Linked DNA regions of Neodiprion lecontei. The protein of the gene in region 1 binds, or shares a complex with, the protein of each later gene. Links are inferred from orthologs where the notes say so. Each region holds a gene or a part of one and is shown on either strand. Other genes may lie near its edges.

Evidence for each region.
Region 2: the proteins of translation initiation factor eIF-2B subunit epsilon (region 1) and translation initiation factor eIF-2B subunit gamma are in contact, whole or in part, in a cryo-EM structure (PDB 7VLK), measured with the Homo sapiens proteins. The link is inferred for Neodiprion lecontei from reciprocal best matches to the Homo sapiens genes EIF2B5 and EIF2B3. Residues at the interface, in NP_003898.2 of Homo sapiens: Pro190, Val202, Arg222, Arg223, Phe224, Ala225, Phe226, Pro227, Leu228, Phe231, Gln232, Ser234, Ser235, Asp236, Gly237, Val238, Glu239, Val240, Arg241, Tyr242, Asp243; in NP_065098.1 of Homo sapiens: Arg155, Phe157, Glu178, Glu179, Leu180, Val181, Ile182, Lys183, Gly184, Leu187, Gln188, Pro191, Arg192, Ile193, Arg194, Phe195, His196, Thr197, Gly198.

The regions. Positions count from the first base shown.
Region 1 is NC_060261.1:15,633,560-15,637,494, forward strand, and holds the start of translation initiation factor eIF-2B subunit epsilon, read left to right. Parts: upstream 1-1,484; 5' UTR 1,485-1,885; intron 1,886-1,971; 5' UTR 1,972-2,121; coding exon 2,122-2,817; intron 2,818-3,245; coding exon 3,246-3,935. Other genes in the region: actin-related protein 2/3 complex subunit 3, read right to left, coding at 1-154, 245-421, 796-801. UniProt on the Homo sapiens protein: Acts as a component of the translation initiation factor 2B (eIF2B) complex, which catalyzes the exchange of GDP for GTP on eukaryotic initiation factor 2 (eIF2) gamma subunit.
Region 2 is NC_060263.1:38,050,784-38,054,718, forward strand, and holds the start of translation initiation factor eIF-2B subunit gamma, read left to right. Parts: upstream 1-1,391; 5' UTR 1,392-1,678; intron 1,679-3,098; exon of another isoform or gene 3,099-3,166; intron 3,167-3,242; 5' UTR 3,243-3,328; intron 3,329-3,466; 5' UTR 3,467-3,497; coding exon 3,498-3,935. Other genes in the region: rapamycin-insensitive companion of mTOR, read right to left, coding at 1-4, 443-490, 557-611. UniProt on the Homo sapiens protein: Acts as a component of the translation initiation factor 2B (eIF2B) complex, which catalyzes the exchange of GDP for GTP on the eukaryotic initiation factor 2 (eIF2) complex gamma subunit.

The DNA.
Region 1 (3,935 bases):
ATGGGAAACCGGCTTCTCCTGGAATATCAAATTTGGAAATAGCCAAGGTGTACATCTCATTGGTTGCCTGATTTTTGTTTGCACATTTCTGTAATTTCTTCAAGCATTCAGTGATGTACAAAGTGATGTAAATTAAGACTCGGTCAGCTTCGCTCTGTAGAATATTTAAGGGCGAAGAAGTGGTAGTAATATAAGTGTACAGTACATACATTACTTAATGTAACTATACAAATTAAAAAATTACCTTAATTTCGTAGGTTCGAAAGAAAACATTTGCTTTAAAGAAATACAAAGCTTCGTCTATTATATCTAATTCTTTGTTACTGAATGACGGTGCTGGTCCTCGAAACTGGGTTTTGAACGGTAGCAATGCCATGTTGCCAACCGTTTGGTTATTTTCTAAAAAACTTGAATGATATGCCTGAAATTTTATGCAAAATTGGTATGATAATGTGAAAGTGAGAAAGTCTATCAATAGTAGAAAAGCAAAACACGTCAGAATTTATTGACACGGTAATAGCATGTTGACAGTTAAATTAGGTTAGGTAAAATTATAGTCCGTGATTTACTTCAAGAGTAAATCTGAAGTGATCTTTGACTATCAACATCTCGTTAGTAGGTCGATTGGATCAAGGTCAACGACACTGTTAAATTGTGACCCCGTGTTATGATTCATGATATCAAAGGGATACACCCATTTGACAGCTCCTGAATGCGGAAAACCAAATCGACAATTTCAAGACAGAAATAAGTCTTGTATTACTAATTTGAGTAAATTGAAAAGGATAGACTCACAGGCATGTTTGACAGATACTTTTTCGTAGATTGATTATCTTCTTAAACATGAAATTAAACGCCGCAAGGGTGGAGAAATTATTACAGGCAAACTATAATCTGGTGGGGTCTGGCCAGATATCGCTATATCATGTATGTCAGTAGTGGAGTTATACTGTCGCAATACGTATAAAACCGTAAAAGTCACACATGCGCAGAATGCCTCTACCAATCTTGCTGAAAGTCACGTGACTATCACACATGTGCATTAGGGTGTTCGTTGAAAGAAATATGCTTAGCTGCCCGCAGCACTCCGCTGGTGGCCGCGAGTCGAATCTTTGGAAAAAGCTGAAACTCCAATTCAAATTTGATTGCAATGACCAGAAAATAATTGACGTTCTACAATTATCAACGCATCTCGTAAAAAACGAATACGGCATTGTAGTTTACGTGATTTCAATGCTAAGTTTACAAATAATATTGTTTTCCACATGTGTTGGAGCACGTCAATTATTTATTTTACATTTGAATCAAATTCGAATCAGAGTTCGTTGACTGAAGATATACCTATATCACGTATACATATATATATATATATATATCTGAAGTGACAAGAATCTGTACAAAATGGATACCGTTCAATTGGCGTGACGGCACCACGCGTGTATATATATATCAGTGGTGCGAACTGGCGGCAGCGTCGAAAAACAAAAAATGCACCGTAAGCGTATTTCCCCCACCACGCAACTTTTGATGAGTTTCAAGACCTGTATGTAAGACCGTGCTTATGGCAACGCTAATGAAGTGGTGTACTAAAATTGCAAATGCGTAAGAAAATATACTCAAACATTGACGTATCAAAAGACACAGAGGACGATAGATAATCTACGATAAGCATATATTTGTTGCAATTTTAATATTCATGATAATAAACAACAGTTTATTGGAAACTAGATCTACTTTGATTTTTAAAAAAATCCAATTGTGCAGGTTTTCGCGCCATACGGGTGGCCGACATGAGAGAAGATCATAAAATCGCATATAAATTGAGTATTGCGTGGGATATACGGTTACGATAATGACATTTAAAATATTCTACGCATCATTAATGGTACGTTTTAATATAATCCAATAATACGATAACCTTTGTTCAAATACGATATCTTACGTCCCTGGAATAATCGGCGCCATCTTTAGGACTTGGAAATAGCCAAAAGAAAGAAGAACTAGAAGAAGTATAAACGCATTCCATGCTGACAGTTGTGGATGGACTGAGGGTGATCGAGGGTTAACAATCGTTAACAAGATAGTTGTGGGTTAATCACCGGTTGTACAATATCTAATAAAATGGCAGCGACGGAGTTGAAGAAAGAAGAGGTCCGACAGGCTGTTGTTCTAGCAGATGACTTCTCCACAAATTTACATCCCATGCAGACGCTCTACCCAAGTGCGTTGATGCCGGTTTTTCATATTCCACTTTTGGAATACCTGACAGAAACTTTAGTGAGGAACGATATACAGGAGTTATTTTTGTACTGCAGTAACCACGTTGAATCTTTGAGATCGTACGTACAAAGTCAAAATTACAAGGGTCTTATCAATGTACATTTAATCGTCTCTGATGGCTGCCGTTCGCTTGGCGATGCTCTCCGAGACATCGACAGCAAAGGTATCATTCGCGGCGACTTCATCCTGATCAGAGGCGACGCTTTCACCAATGCCAATCTAAAGAGGCTTCTCGACTGGCATCGATTTAAGTCAAAACAAGACAAAGGCGCTGCGATGACGCTGATATTCCGTGATTTAGGATCTAACAATTTTCCGGTGAAAGAAAACAAAACTTGTCTAATTGCCGCTGATAACTCGAATAACAAAGTTTTGTTTCATCAAAAACTCTCAGAGAAAGACAGAAAAGTCAAATTGGAATTACAGTTGTTCTTGGATCACGATTGTGTCCGAATACACAGCGGTTTACTGGAAACTCATATTTACCTTTGCTCAGCGTCGGTGCTTCCCTTGTTTTCTGACAATTTCGATTTTCAGGTAAGTTCTTTTCAGAATCACATAACTCTGCTGAAAAAGTTTGATGTGATACGCAAGCTTCTAATACGATATTATAGAATGGGTTTAGAAATACAATAGACTTGTCAGTTTGGATTGTGTTTTTGAACAAGGCTGAAGTTAGCGATGTCAACGTTACGAAACATTGAGGAAAAAGTAAATAAGTTGCAATTCCAGAATAACTTTGCAGGAATCAAGTGTTGAAAATATAATGTAACGATTTTTCTCGACATACATCGTTACAATGATACTAACGTCAAAATGTTACTCAATGATATTTTTACATCCTATTCTATGATTGTCATTAACACCTAATCGTGGTTTATTAAATTGTTTTGAAATTTTTAAACACCCTTCTAAACATTGGAATGAATTTACTATCAACTGAATGTCTTCAACATCATTTTCAGACCATGGAAGACTTTATCCGAGGAGTCTTAATCAACGAGGAAATTCTAGACTCTCGAATTTACTGGCAAAAATTAGATCCAGAAGAATACGCGCTGCCAGTCACATCTTGGAGGGATTACAATACTTTAATCAGAGACATACTTCAAAAACGTGGATATCCCCTAACCATTGAGATGATGCCAAGTTGTATGTATTTTCTGTACCTACGTAGATGTACGTATAAACACAACAGTTCGATTCTTGGGAAGGGCTGTACATTGGAACGGGATTGTGTGGTATGTCCAAACAGTAATGTGGGAGAAAACACACGCATCACAGGTTCTGTGATTGGAGAAGGCTGTAACTTGGGGAATAATGTGAGACTTGAAAATTCTTACTTGCTGGGTAAAGTGAGAATTGGGGATGATTGTATCGTTAAAAATTCAGTTTTATTCTCCGGCTGTGAGTTGGGTAATTCAGTTGAGATAGACGGCTGTATTTTGGGCCCGAAATTTAAGCTGAAATTGGAAAGTGTTCACACGGATTCCCTCATGCAAATTGATTCAAATGATTGTATCACTTACATCTCCATGAGCAAAGCTCATCCTGACACTGATCAAGAATTACCCTATTTCAAATACACATGTACAAACGAGTCCGACGATGATTCTGATGATCTTGAAGACTACAGTAGCAGCGATGAAGAATCG
Region 2 (3,935 bases), on another chromosome or scaffold:
ATATCTACAAAACAAATCATTCGTATCAAGAGGCATTTGTGATAATAGAAAGAGAGGTAAAGTTAGTGTTTAGAACTGTGACGAGCAAGATATTTTTACTTTTTTCCAGATATTTACTTGTTGCTATAAGTAAGAGTATGGATATAAACTTTCAATTAGTACCGGCATTGAAGGGTTCATAATATATTCACATCTGACTTTGAAAAGCAAAGAAATTCGAGACGAATGTGATAAGAAAGTAAGTTTGAGATGCCCAGTGCTATGGTTTTCACGTTACAGTTGGAAAATAAATTTCCAGATTAGTTTGACACTGGGGAATTGTTATTGTTGGAGATATTCAACTGTTATTGTTATTATTGGTATTTTAATTGCTGTGATTATTAGACATACTGTTGTATAACATTCGAAAGTAAGATTGACAGGTTAGGGCTAGGTTACTAACCTTTTGACAGATCCAGTTGCACGGAATTGTCTTCGCCATCAAGATGACCTGCGGCAACAAATGAATTAGTTTTCGATAATGAGTTCATTCAAAATATGTGAAAAATGAGCATACTTTTATGAGATCTATTAGACCGTGAACTCCTTCCACGAATCATCCAACTAGCCATTGCTATTCACTGCCGGCCGCTATCCACAGGGACATTTAATACTTTCGTCCATTTAATAGTATCTTTAAACAAAGGATATTTCATTCTTAAAACATCGAAGTACTATCACGGCTTTAATTATTGATGAATCAAGTGTGATTTGATTCAAGTGACACACGTACGGACGTTGAACTCGACATAGTGTACTTTCGATTGTGTAGAATCTAAAAAAAAATTCTACATAGGCACGTATAGGTGCCAGAGTAAGATGGGAAAACAATCGAAGCTTTTCGCTACACTGCGATCTGTTATTGTAAAAAGCAACTACAAGGGTATTTTGTGGAAACTTCACACAGAGTGCAGCACTATCTAGATTGGCACTGTTGCACCAATTTATTCTAAATCGAGTGACTCCAAAATTCCTGAAATTTTTATTACAATCAATATTGACGTAGGACTTCTGTTACTTAATTCGATCCTGTGATTTTCTCTGCCAAAGTAGGCCGAAATACAAATCACAGCCAGCCGATCTCGCTTGTGATTGCTAGTGAAGTTCAAATTTATGCCTGACGTGGTGAGCGAAAACAATTCATATCAACGTACGTCGAAGATCCAGTTCGATAGGGTAGAAATTTGTGAAGCAAAATATTGTTGAACAAGTATTTGATATAATATGTGATGACAAATAAAAAACGTGCTATAATTGATATAAAAAGAACCCCAAACGATGTATGTATATGGCTGTAGCGTACAAAAATTACAAAGAAAGCACACATTCGTTACCAGTATTGTTTACTAACCTACAAATGATAAAGATGGTGACTATATAATACCACCTGTGATATTACACAAAAATACCTTGGCTTCACCTATCTTCAATGCCTCAGCCACGGGTATAAACAAACGAAGACAGATGGACTAATTCATTGGCACCAGAGGCATCAGGATTGGCATATTTCCACCATATTTCCGATCAGGGAAGCGTCACACGGAAGAATAAAGTATAAATAGATGGTAATTGTTCGGTGATGTCAATAATAGTTATGAGTTAACCTGTCTGTCAAGAAAATATCAATTCTCCATATTTAGTAAGTTTTTCTGAAAATGATAGAAATAGAAATTGTATGAACATCCACAATTCTTAGAATCGATACTTGTACTTAGAAGGAACATCACTCTGGTTTCCCCCTCTGATTTCGTTGCAACGCATGTATGATGTTGAACCTTGAAAATTAAAAGAAGTGTATTTAATTTATCGGCGGAAAAACGGTTTAAAAGGGTGAAATAACCCTCCAAAGTAAGGCATTTCAAGGGGCGATTTGACAGTTTCACCCGCAAGCAATCGGCTGATTTCAATGAACCGAAATTGAAAATGTTTTTCATGTTAATCATTGTGACGACTACCATACATATTGAAACAAAATAAATAAAGTTGAGGGGTGAACCGTCCCTCAATTTTTTTTGCACTCGCCATTCAAAAATCGTGGACCTAATTGAATGAAACCAATGCCATTTTATAGAAAAAACAAAATGGAAGTTCATGTATTTTTGCGTTTTTCAAAAACGCAAAGTCAAGGGAGTAAACTGCCCGCTGCATAAACTTACTTCACATGCCATCTTCCATCTGTTTAAAATGTATCTGCTGATTCAAAATATATTTGTCAGCTCATAGTTGAAGTTTCATCACATTATAAAATCATTAGGCATGTGGGAGGGTATCAAACATGTGCCAATTTATTTTGATATGGCTGATGCCATTAGATTGAAAACACGAACGTTGTGTATGCGCACTCTTGCATACTTAAAAACTACCTCTGCAAAGAGGATAGACTACCCCTCAAGTGAGGGTGGGTATCAATACTTATATTTGTACGTTAGAGAAATTTCCGTGCTTTTTTTATACGCTAGGTAAGAGCATAATTTTTAAATGGGCTCATTCACTGTCAGTTCCTTGTTTTTAAACAACGATCCATATGAACAAATTCATTAGCATTATGTCTATATGAATGATATGTAAAAATCCATTCTTCCGTTCAAAATATTTGTAGTCGGATTCAATACATATGATTTAATTTATTTTATAATATTTTCATGTTAAGGGTCTTGTTTTTACGCACGCACGTAGACAATAAAACAGAGATTCCTATTCTTTAATCACATATCGTATGGTATACAAGACATGTTAAAATTGAATGTGTTGGTAAATGATAAGGATGTTGGTGCAATATAAGAATATTATTAACTATGGGGTGGTCAGATAATATATTATTTTTCTGATATACCTGCTTTAAAAGCTCGTAACCTTTGAAAATTTTTTCATTCCATGATTGTTAATATATGTAATATTAATCATAAGAATGCAACATAAGAATATAATATAATATAAATGTAATATTTTGTAATAGCGATCAAACAAGAGTGGTTTTGGCAATTAAATTGATTTTAATTGGTAACATTTTATTTAGATCAAAACGTTTTTTCACTTCAAAAAAAAAATACATTTCTTAGTTTTCAGTATTCTACAACATACATGAGTGGCAACAAAATCAGAGGAGGACACCAAAGTGATGCTCTTTGTTAGTACTTATAATTGATATACATTTTCTTTTACTACAATGTTATTTATGATACGTATAACTTTGAATTCTTAAGCTTGATTCCATTAACATCCAAGAAAATTAATCTACAGATGAAGTGGCTAATATAACTGCTACTTTGACCACATTAAATTGTAATAGGTAATATCTCACATGGTTGTGTCATAAGTGTTTATATTTGTGCCAGCTAATAAGTAACACAGAAAAGTCAGGAAGTACTGTCTAATTATAGTAAAATTCTCGGCAACACTAAAATTTATCTAACCCTATACATTGCAGACCCTTTGCACCTGGAATCGCATGACACAACATGTGGCGCCAAATGGAATTTCAAGCTGTAGTCCTTGCTGCAGGCAAAGGATCCCGAATGACAGAATTGACAGCTAGTCGAGCCAAGTGCTTGTTGCCTATTGGAAACTATCCCATGCTCTACTATCCCCTAAAACTTTTAGCACGTAACGGGTTCATGGAAGTCATTGTTGTGGTACAAGAAGAATGGAAAAATGAAATAGCGTTAGCTATAGACAAATTGAATATTAGACTCAGATGTGATTTCGTTGGAATCCCAGGTGGGGACGATCTAGGAACTGCTGACGTCCTCCGATTAATCCATGAGAAGTTCTACACAGACATCATTGTTCTCCCTTGCGACTTGATCATGAATATCGATTTAAGTGGCATTTTCAATTCTTATAGAAGACATTCAGCAATCATTATTTCTATGCTGATCCAACTTCCAACATTTTCT